Linked DNA regions of Caenorhabditis elegans. The protein of the gene in region 3 purifies or fractionates together with the protein of the main gene of each other region. This does not show direct contact. Each region holds a gene or a part of one and is shown on either strand. Other genes may lie near its edges.

Region 1 (3,756 bases), on a different chromosome or scaffold from region 3:
AGTTAATGTACAAAAAAACATTTAAAGCTTGGCTGAAGAACGATCTCTCAAGAATCGTCTCAAAATCTTTCCAGCTGCGGACTTTGGAATTTCTTCAATAAATTCGACACCACCTTCGAGTTGTTTGTAAGGAGACACTTTTGCTGAAAGTATTATAGTTATACAGAAAATGCACTATTCATAACTTACGTTTAACAAAGTCCTTAACTTCTTGTTCAGTGAGAGTGTTATCAGCTCTTACAACAAATGCTTTAGGTAATTCTCCAGCTTTAGCATCTGGGATTCCAATAACTGCACAATCTCTAATCTTTGGATGAGATAGAAGAAGATCTTCAAGTTCAGCTGGTGGTACTTGAAGCCCTTTGACCTTGATTAGCTCTTTAAGTCGATCAACAATAAACAAATTTCCATCCTCATTGAGATAACCAATGTCTCCAGTGTGAAGCCATCCATCGATGACAGTGCTGGCTGTTGCTTCTGGTCTTCCGAGATACCCAAGCATAATTGTTGGACCACGAACACAAATTTCTCCTCGTTGGTTAACCGGTTGCTCTCTGTCGGTTCCTGGTTCCACAATCTGAATAACTTTTGTATAAATTGAATACTTTTGTTTCCTTTTAAACATTGAAAAACTTGATTCGGAAATTCTCACCTTCATAACCAAATTTGAAGCAAGTTTTCCAACGGATCCATATGGTTGATCATTTCTTAAATCAGGAAGATGACTAGCCATTGAACATTCCGTCATTCCATATCCTTGTTGGATGTATTTCAAATTTGTATACTTCCTCTTCAATTCTTCAATCAAATCCTTTCCAGCTGGAGCTGCTCCCGCCATTATCATTTGCACTGATGATAGATCAAACTTATCGCAAATTGGATGCTTGGCCAAGAAAACCATAATTGGTGGAACTAGGCAAAGACAGCGGACCTAAAGAATTAAATTAAAAATGTTATTTATGAACTTTTGATTCTATACTTTGTAGTTTTGAACGGCAGTCAAAAAATTATTCGGCTCAAAATGGCTCATGACAATTCCAGTCATTCCCTTGAGAAGACAGTGATTAAGAAGACCAAATCCATAGACATGATAGAATGGAAGAAACAAGAGAGCTTTCTCATTGTAGCAGTCCCAATTTGGATCAAGAACATCCAAAATGTGTGATTTATCAATTCTGAAAGTTGTGTCGTATATGAACCTAATTATATTTTCGTTTTTTTTCAATTACTTTTCAAAAAATGTACATAACGTTATACTGATTCTTCTGTATTGATCTATGAAATTGTTTTCTTGGCCCTTATCTTTTTTTGCGTCATAGGAAGGTTAAAGTGTAACCATTTTACTGTTAACTTTGTACTTTCACACCTATTCTGTCTCATCATCATCATCTTTAAATTTCAAACTTACGCAAGATACATGGAGATCATGGATGTAAAATTGTAGTGTGATAGCATAACACCCTTTGGTGGTCCAGTGGTACCACTCGAGTATGGAAGAACGAGTAAATCATTGTGAACATCAATTGGAACTTGTGGTAGAGCAGTGACTGGAGTTGAAACCACTTCATTCCAAGATACAACTCCTGCTGGAAGAGAAGATCCAACTGGTTTTGGGATGACAATGATCTTTTGGATGTTTGGCGATTGCTTCACAGCAAGAAGAACTTTTGGAAGAAAATCTTCGTAAGTAAAAACAACCTTTGCGCGAGAATCAACAAATTGACGTTGAAGCTCATCTGAAAACAGAAATTGCGGGTTGGTGAAAGTAACTTTCATCAATTTAACTTACAGTCAGTGAAAAGTGCACTAGCTCCAGATACAGCTCCACCGTTGATGGCACATCCAATGAAAAATGAAGTATAGTGCCAGACGTTTGGAAGAACAACAGCAGCAACATCTTTCTAAAAGATATCAAAAATTTAAGGCATTGTCTTGAACAAATTGAAAGATTTTTGAAATACTTCCTTTCTCTTGTTGAATTATAAAATTCCCAAATTTTTAACATAATGCCACATACCTTGAACCCAATGCTATGAAGATACATAGCGACAGCAAAAGCATCCTTACGAAGTTGTTCAAAAGTAATGAAATGTTTTGGATTATCTCCGCTCACAAATGCAATTTTATTCTTTCCATCGGCAATTGTTTTATCAATTGCATCAAGGAGCATCTCATGGTACGGACGCTCGGAAATCTTCACTGGTGGATATGTAGAGTCGTGTGGCATGGCTGAAGTTTGAAAAATAAATGAATTTAGCAATAACAATCAAAATATAAGAACTGGGCAAGAGGACAGCATGGGTAGCCTACAGTGTGGCCGAAGGTCAATTTAGAAAAAGATAGAGACTGATAAAGACGACAGTTGATAATAGTAAATAGGAAAACTACAGTGCTTAGACGTTATAATGTGGTCCATTTATTGTAGTCTTTGTTTTTTGGCAATTTATAACATTGATTCAACTGTTGAGGAAAAACCGTTAGAAAATTAAAAAAAAAACCACATGAGCGCGGGAAATACTTATCATTTCAGTTTCCGATGCTCATAATCCTAGACAATTTCAGTTAATACTCAATGAAGACAACGAAAGAAAAAGAATAAATGTACACAAAAAGGGCATATTAATGATAAGGGTTGCAAAACGAAAAATGGGCTATGAACAATAAAATAAAAGATCTGTAATCGTAATCAGATGTTTTTAAAGATCTGAAACTTGGATTGTACGTCATTGATCATATTAAAAAGATGCTCAAAACAAGGAAGTACTGGCCAAATTTCAACAATCAAAGTTCTCGTGACGATTTGACAGTAAAAAATGAGGTATTGTGAACATTTTCTAAATTATAGTTTTTTTCCAACCGAGAAGTTATTTTAAGTTATTATTTTCAATCTTCCCCATCAAATTTAAAAACAACCCCTTTGAAAATTACGGCTAAAAGGCATTTATTATTTTTCTGCTAAAAAATTTTCGGAATGAGTTAACGTTTTTTTTTCTAATGAAATAGAAATCATACTAAAAATAGTTATGTAAACTAACTACAAAACAAAAATTGGATTCTTTGTATTTTTAACCAATTTTACAGTTTTTACAGTGACATAATTTCCTGAAACGAACAACGAGGTCTGAAAGTACAAATTTTCTGAAGCTTTGAAGAACATGATGGTTTTGCTGAACCGACAGCGTGTGTTACACGAGACATTTGACATCGATGATAATGAAACGGAATTGATGTTATCAGTTGGCCACGATTGCATGTCATTCATTTTGTTATAAATCAAAATTGAAATTACATTTTGGAATAAAGATAGAAATATTGAAAAAAGCATTCATTCAATCAGCCTATATGGAAATTGACTTTTACAAAATTGAAAAAAAAAATTATGCTGGCATTCTGATGGTGATAGCAAATCCTCCTTTGACATTAAGAAGACACCTAAAACAAAATTATTTCAAAGAACCTATAATTCCGTATTCTTACTTTGTGTTCGGTTTTATCCTAACCATGGTCTCCGATTTCATTGCATAAGTGAACCCGCTCTCTTCTACGACCGCAAATGTGTTTTCCTAAATGATACATGAATTTTTTTTGGGATTTTTCTGTTTTTGCCATACCTGCAACCAAATTAGCAACTCTACAGTTCCACTTTCCAAATCATAAGATCCCTCTCCTAGCAACATAACTTCAGTTTTGTACTCAGGTGCTCCATAAATTCTCACTGGTCCGTTTCTGAAAACTTCTCAAATTAACTATCCGAAA
Region 2 (3,756 bases), on a different chromosome or scaffold from region 3:
CTTGTTCTGTGTGGCGGTTGGATTTCCAGTTGGGTGATGTTGACGACGAATCCATTGATCAATGGCAAATCTTGATGAAACGGTTAGGAAGAAGGCAACTAGCATGAACAGGCTCATGAACAAACGAACAGTGTCAAATGTCAGAAGTTGAATTGCCAGTGCAGTGTAGTATACAGTTTTTTCATCGTCCGAGTTCCAAAGGTATGGCGCGAAAAGTTCGGCGATTTTCACATCTGAAAAGAATACGATAAAACCAATTAAAATTCAATTCAGTTGCAAAAACTTACAAAACTCAAACCATTGAGGAATATTCATTACAATTACAGCAGCTGCTCCAAAACCAAGACGGCTACGTGCATCATCGACAACTGGATCACCAGTCAGAACTGCCATGTTTGTTCCGGCTGCTGGTTTTGGTTTGCACATTAATCCAACACACAAGCACTGGAAAACATTTTTGATTTTCTATATTTAAATTTCATTTGAAGGTGGAATTGTTGAATTACTGTCAATAGATATGTGTAGGGGTGTAGAAGTAAAGTGCAAAACAATTACACTGAAAACGATCTTTAAATAGGATCACACCACTTGTTGGCTTCGGTTAAATTTTCTACTATTCTTTGGATTTTTTCACACTTTGTTTAATACCTCACTAATGTATAACTGGGCACTGATGTCCACCTTTAGAGATCAAAAATAGATTACCACTAGAAGCTCGGCAATGATTCCCACTGTGCACAAAAGGTAGGTAAAAAACAGTGCAGAAGCAGGAAGTGGGTTCCATTGGGATGCGATGAAATGATATGAACCAGAGAGTATAGCAGCAAAGAAGAGCACAGCAAAGTAAGATGTCCTGGAAAATATCGGAGGCATCAACTATTCATTTAACAAAAAATGTTATTCAAGATTTTTGCTGTGTCATTCTAACCATTTTCTTACCATGAATCACAAGGATTAAAGTTTTGTCTTTTCCTTGCAATTACAATCAACGCCGAGAGAAAAATCACAGATCCAATGGATGTAGTGAGGACTGCTGTAGTGTAAAACCAGTTGAAGAACATCAGAAAAACCATGTACCACCATCCATAAGCTCCAAGCATGATACTGTAGATAGCCAGTGCAATCTTGAACAGAGATGACAGTCCAAGTGGAATGTAGACAATAGTCAGAAAGACCTTCGTGATATCACGCTTCATTTTCAAAGAAAGCAGAAAGAAAACTGCGATGATTGAAACTTCAATTGCGGAGAGTCCAGCTCCAATTGGTCCTCCGTAAAATGCTTTCTTTGTGTAGAGTTCATCAGGAAAATCACAGCTTATCTTCACTTTTTTCTTCACAGTTGTTGAATTACAAAAAAGAGTGGTAAGTAAAGGAAGACCCGGGACTGGGTCCATGTCCGTCGACATGGTTACACGATCTTTATATCACTTCAATAGTTGGGATTTTATTGAAGCTGAGATTGAGAATAAGAAATGTGGCGAGTTGAGTGGCTAGATTGAACAGGTGAAATGCCATGTTGCTATGGTTACTCGTCACGAAGTTTCAGCTGTTCTTGGACGCAGATCTTGTGATATTGAAATTGGTTGTTGATGTAAAAAAAATTAAGACGGAGACACTAACGAAGCTAGCCAAAACAAACTTTTTACGGAAGGTTGAGCTTAATGTTAAGTGGGACATATACGTTTGATGGTACCTGAAACTACCAGGAAAGTATGATATTTTGCAAGTCTTTGAACTTTTGGGATCATTTTTGCTCTTGAACTCATCCTCTAATATATATCATAAGCAGCAAAAACAAAGTACTCGATTTTGCTGCTTATGATATACTATTTTTTGAAACGAGCGTTTTAAAGAAAATTGTGTACATTGTTTCGGTGCTCAATAGTTTCATTGTTACATACTTTGCAAAATGAAAGGGTTTTCCCTGTCGATCTCGAAATAGAAACCATTATGACGATCATCAATACACAATTGGACGCAGATTGTTAGAGGAATGGCATTGATAACAAAAATAGTCACAATATAAAAGTTGATCGTGTTGGGTAGAATGGGGTAGATACTACACATTTTCTGATATTCATATCATCTGACGAAACAATGCCCGCCAATTACGATTTCACTGACAAACGTATACTTGTCACAGGAGCAAGTCAAGGTAAGTCTTGAGATGTTGAAAAAGTTAAGATGGGTTGTTTCAATACAAACCAAATACACTTGTTTTGGGTTCCATTTAACAAATATGAAATTGAGATAGCTCACTACAGGAAATAGACTTGATATTTAGACAGAAAGTTATGTTGAGATAAGTTTTTGTACCACTCGGAGTTGGTGCCAACTTATTGCCCAACTTTTGACCTATAGTTGAAAACTTCACGGAAAACGTCAAATCTCTTTTCCGACGATTGTTCTATGTTTTGAGTTTAGATATGTTTGCAAGGTTTGAATTGAAGTTGACCAGGTTTTCCCTGGTCTAGTATAAGTTTATTTGTAGTTTGAAGTAAGGAAATGTTAAAAATTATCTGCTCAATTAAAAAAAACCATTAAACATTTGGAGCCACTGAATCAGTTTTCTGAAATCTCATGAAGATTTGTACTTTTTAAGTTTTCAAAATGTTTAATCCATATTAATTTAACATTTCAAATTTAGGCCAATGTGATAAAAGACCGATGGTCTCTCTGATTACTTCCGGTGTAATTATGATCTAGTTCAAATGGAGAGGAAAACGTTGATATACGATAATATGATAACACTATAATCTTTAATCAAAAATTTGTTGTATCATCAACATTTTATCATTCCGTTTGAAAATTATAATTATTTTACGATTATGTTTGAGGAAATTTCTGGCATTGAAAACAAGAGTACATCCTTCCTAGTCGGTAAAAAATATATTACGCGAACAAAGCTAAAAATAGAATAAAAATCGTTCATGAAGACTTCCGATGGGGTGATTGTGAATCATACATCACAATTTATCACATTTGCAGGAATTGGAAAAGAAATCTGCCTTTCGTTGGCCAAAGCTGGAGCGCAGGTTATTGCATTCGCGAGAAATGAAGCAAATTTGTTGAGTCTTGTCAAAGAGACTACTTCTTTGGTAAGTGAAAATATAAAATATTACACCAATCTGATTAAATTAATATTTCAGAGATATACAATAATTCCAATTGTTGGAGATGTGAGTGCCAATGAAGAGGTCCTTTTCAAACTTATCGTACCACATTTCCCAATTCATGGTCTTGTAAATAATGCTGGAATTGCAACAAATCATGCAATTGGACAAATTACTCAACAATCAATTGATAGAACATTTGCAGTCAACGTAAGGGGACCTATTCTCATTGCACAATTAGTTGCTAGAAACTTTGTGGATAGACAAATCAAAGGATCAATTGTTAATATTTCATCACAAGCAGCCATTCGTCCATTGGATAATCACACTGTTTATTGTTAGTTTAAAACTTTACTGAAATAATGTACATCTGAAAGTTCAGGTGCATCAAAAGCTGCTCTTGATATGGTCACAAGATGTCTTGCAAATGAATTGGGATCCCAGAATATTCGAGTTAATAGTGTCAATCCAACTGTTGTGATGACTGATATGGGAAGAGATGTAATAATTTTCAAATTGAAAAGAGAGCATAATTAGACTTTTTAGAACTGGAGTGATCCTGATAAGAAGAAGAAGATGCTCGACAGAATGCCGATCAAACGTTTTGCTGAGGTTGACGAAGTTGTGAATGCTGTCCTTTTCC
Region 3 (3,636 bases):
CTTTTTTTTGAATGAAAAATTGCATGCAATTTTAATGAGTACTGTAATTTCAAACTTTTGTTGTCGCGGAATTTTCATCAATTTTTATAGTTTTTCGATAAAAATATATTTATTTATGTGATATCTAAATATATCAACAAAACACGAATTTGGAAATTTTTTCAATTTTTTTTTTGCGAATTTTGAAAAATGAATGTTTTTATTGAAATTTTTGAGTTTTAAATATTTAAACAAATAACTTTTAACACAACTTTGTCGTGTCAAGACCAGTTACCGTATTTTTGGCACAAAAAAACGCGAAATTTTGCATTAAGGCAATACGACTCACCCAAATCTAGAGTTTCTTGGAAACAATGCGATCTACTATATTGATTCGTGAAAATCCGAACAGAGTGTCCTCGATCCTGTAATCCAACAGCAGCATCAACAATCAATCGTTCGGCTCCACCGATGCCTAGATCTGGATGGAGAATGGTTACCCGGACCATACTACCAAATTCAATATTTTAATTCTTGTATTCAATTTTTTTAAAATATGAGCATGGTAATATAAACATAATGTTATATAAACTTTTAATTTTTAGAAAATAAAACAATTTATTTATTCATTCCTTAAAATCTCTGTAAAACTCGGGGTGGCACAACCTATTGTAACATGGATGCTATGGCAATTCGAAAAAAAAAGTGAATAGGGAAAACCTTAACAAAAAAAAAAGATGATAACAAAAACTGATCTAAAGACCCTTCAGACAATCATCAAGAAGACTGCTAGCTCCGATGCGGAACAAGTGAGGATTGAGCCATTCGTCGCCGAGAATCTGAAAAATGAATTTTATAATTGTATTTAGAATAAGTAACACTCACATCTTTGACAAGAGCAACATAAGAGAGTGCTTCATCAACAGTTTTGATTCCTCCAGCTGGTTTGAATCCAACCTTCTTTCCAGTGAGCTCATGCCAACGCTTAATGGCAGTACACATAACGTAAGCAACTTCCAATGTGGCGTTCACAGATTCTTTTCCAGTTGAGGTCTTGATGAAATCGGATCCAGCGAGAATACTTGCCCAACTTGCTCTGTAGACGTTGCTCAAGGTTTTCAGCTCTCCAGTTGCCAAAATAGTCTTGAGATGAGCCGAGCCACAAGCCTTCTTGCATGCCAAAACCTCATCGTGAACAGTTTTCCAATCCTCGTCCAATGCTGATGCTCTGCTGATGACAATATCGATTTCAGTAGCTCCATCAGCAACAGAGAGCTCGACTTCAAGAACTTTGGATTTCAAATGATATTGTCCAGATGGAAATCCTCCGGCTACTGAAGTGATATTGGAGTTTAACTTCGAAGAAGCAAGGAATTTCTTGACATCGGCGATTCTTTGAGGATAGACGCAAACGGATCCACAATGAATTGATGGATCAGTTGGGACTGGATTGATTGCTCTTTTTGCCAATGCAACAACTTTGCTCGCAGTATCATCACCATTCAAGGTAGTTAGATCAATATATTGAATTACTTTGCGAATTTCGTCTTTCTGAAACAAGCATTTTAATAGAAACAAAGAAGAATTATGCTTATGAATTATTAATCTTACATTTCTCAAATTCTTCGCTTCTTGCTCGTATTTGCTGATGGCCTGAGCAATCTCCTGATTATCAAAATCGCGTCCAACTTCTCTTTCGAATGTGGCCACGTCGAAACGGCCCTTGTAAGTGTCACGAACGAATGAGAAGAGTGTTGGCACGATCGTCGCCATTTTGTGACTGAAAATTGAATATTTTTAGAACATTTTTCGAATAAAACGAGGAGTTGAAGAGGAATTATATAATTAAAAATAAAAATCGTGGCGCACCGAGCAAGATTGGTGCAAACACTAGAACGGAAAAGTGCACAACTTTTTTATCTTGGTGGGAAACAAGAAACAATTTTTTGTTGAAATAATAAATACTTCACAGCATTGAAACAATCAAAAAATAATAATTGTTTCAAATTAGAGAAAATAAGAATACTTTTTGTTCGCGAAAATGGCAAGAAAAATCGTGAGACCAAACCGATAAAATAATTTCTTCTTTATCGTTTTGTTCCAGTTGATAACAATTTTGATGATTGAGGCCATTCGATAAGTTATATGTGATCCGCTTATCATCTCAAAGGTCGTTTATTGAAAAAATAAGAATTATTTATAATATGCGCATTTATGAAAGTCACAAAATTACAATAAACCACTTTTAAAATCTTATTCTACACAAACCTACTGTAAAAGTTGTAGAGAAAACTGAAAGTTGAAGAGAGCATAGAGAAATAGAGATATACAACTGCTGACGTCTTTTCGGCACTCAGCTGACGCACTTTGCGCGCATCTTCGCAATAGATTTTCCGGATTTACTCTATTTTGGTAATACTGAATTCAAGTATGGCAAACGACGAAGAGTTCTTTATTGTTCGATGTCGAGGACCTTCAAGCTATCGTGAATCCGTCTATAAATACCTAGTAAGTTTTTTTTTGTATTTTTAGTTACGATAAATAAAATTCGCAATATTTTCAGACAGGACAACCATCTGATTGGAATCGAAATTCTGTGTTTTTGAGAAATATGCATGTCGGAAGAGCAAAAAATGTCAAAGAAATCTTCAATTGCATATTACAGACACAACCTCTTCCTGTTGTACAACCTTGTAAGATTTTTTTAAACAAAAATTTGTATTTGATTGATTTTTAAGGTCACCCAGTAAGACAACCACGCGAAAGCTTTTACTCATCTCATGAACATGATCCAATGGATGAAGTTTTACTACAAGAAGTGAAGGAAGAAGCTCATTCACTGGCTTTCAAAGGAATACCAATTGAAACCAAGGGTCCTACACCATCATCAACTATTATGAATCCTGAAGTTACGCTTAGAGACGTTCTGACGTTTCACAAAAATATTAAAAGAAGACCACAAGAGACAAAACCGGCAAAATTTGATTTCTCCGCAATGCCATCAACTTCTCGGTAAGTTTCGTGATTTTTTCAAATTTAAAATTCAAAGTAAAAAACTTTTCAGACTTCCACCTACATCTCCAAAACGCTACCGCCAGTTTGCACCTCCTCCAATCTCTATGAAACAGTCTCCCAAAATTTGTGCCAAAACTGTTTCGTGTCCGAGTACGTCCGAAGTAAAGAGCCCACCAAAAAAGATGATTATACAGAAGATACAGAAACATCAGGAAGCACCGAAACCAGCAAAAGTGCCAAAAATCAAAGGCGAAAAGAAGAAAAAAGATGGTGAGTTATTTTTAAAAAAATCGATAGATGTCTGATACAAAAGTGTCTATTGCACCATGTTATTCTAAAATTTTTCATTTGAAAATAACTATATTTTTACATTGTTTTTTGAAGAAAAATTCTGGAATGATATGGAAAAAATCGTATTCTTAGGTATCTGTTACTATAATAAACTTATTCAGGTCGACAAGATGAACAAGAAGAAATTGATATTGAGTTGAAACTCAGCAAATCTACAGTATCCAGTCAGACATTGGTAATAATGAAAATAACTTTTTAAAAATTAAAAAAAAAAGTAATCTTTTAGAAACGACACAACATCAGTTTCGAACGAAAACCACAAAGAGGAATTTGAATGGAAAAAAATGATTG

The links.
Region 1: the proteins of F09E5.3 (region 3) and acs-14 fractionate together in Caenorhabditis elegans (co-fractionation; one large-scale study listed by BioGRID). This does not show direct contact.
Region 2: the proteins of F09E5.3 (region 3) and dhs-21 fractionate together in Caenorhabditis elegans (co-fractionation; one large-scale study listed by BioGRID). This does not show direct contact.

Annotation. Positions count from the first base shown.
Region 1 is NC_003283.11:9,506,605-9,510,360, reverse strand, and holds the start of acs-14 (4-coumarate--CoA ligase), read right to left. Parts: upstream 2,230-3,756; 5' UTR 2,228-2,229; coding exon 2,018-2,227; intron 1,902-2,017; coding exon 1,790-1,901; intron 1,737-1,789; coding exon 1,409-1,736; intron 1,176-1,408; coding exon 980-1,175; intron 932-979; coding exon 653-931; intron 578-652; coding exon 190-577; intron 144-189; coding exon 22-143; 3' UTR 1-21. Other genes in the region: haao-1 (3-hydroxyanthranilate 3,4-dioxygenase), read right to left, coding at 3,378-3,432, 3,478-3,563, 3,612-3,726.
Region 2 is NC_003283.11:12,731,903-12,735,658, reverse strand, and holds the start of dhs-21 (L-xylulose reductase), read left to right. Parts: upstream 1-2,013; 5' UTR 2,014-2,097; coding exon 2,098-2,155; intron 2,156-2,988; coding exon 2,989-3,098; intron 3,099-3,149; coding exon 3,150-3,450; intron 3,451-3,495; coding exon 3,496-3,614; intron 3,615-3,659; coding exon 3,660-3,756. Other genes in the region: xbx-9 (XK-related protein), read right to left, coding at 1-233, 288-444, 706-853, 940-1,406. UniProt on the Caenorhabditis elegans protein: Catalyzes the NADPH-dependent reduction of L-xylulose, D-xylulose, L-(+) erythrulose, D-erythrose, D-threose, L-ribulose, 1,4-dibromo-2,3-butanedione and 2,3-heptanedione.
Region 3 is NC_003280.10:5,372,120-5,375,755, reverse strand, and holds F09E5.3 (Putative deoxyribose-phosphate aldolase), read right to left. Parts: upstream 1,760-3,636; 5' UTR 1,753-1,759; coding exon 1,591-1,752; intron 1,531-1,590; coding exon 865-1,530; intron 819-864; coding exon 735-818; 3' UTR 591-734; downstream 1-590. Other genes in the region: algn-2 (Alpha-1,3/1,6-mannosyltransferase ALG2), read right to left, coding at 329-488; agt-2 (AlkylGuanine DNA alkylTransferase), read left to right, coding at 2,410-2,487, 2,543-2,672, 2,718-2,991, 3,044-3,264, 3,447-3,520, 3,572-3,619. UniProt on the Caenorhabditis elegans protein: Catalyzes a reversible aldol reaction between acetaldehyde and D-glyceraldehyde 3-phosphate to generate 2-deoxy-D-ribose 5-phosphate.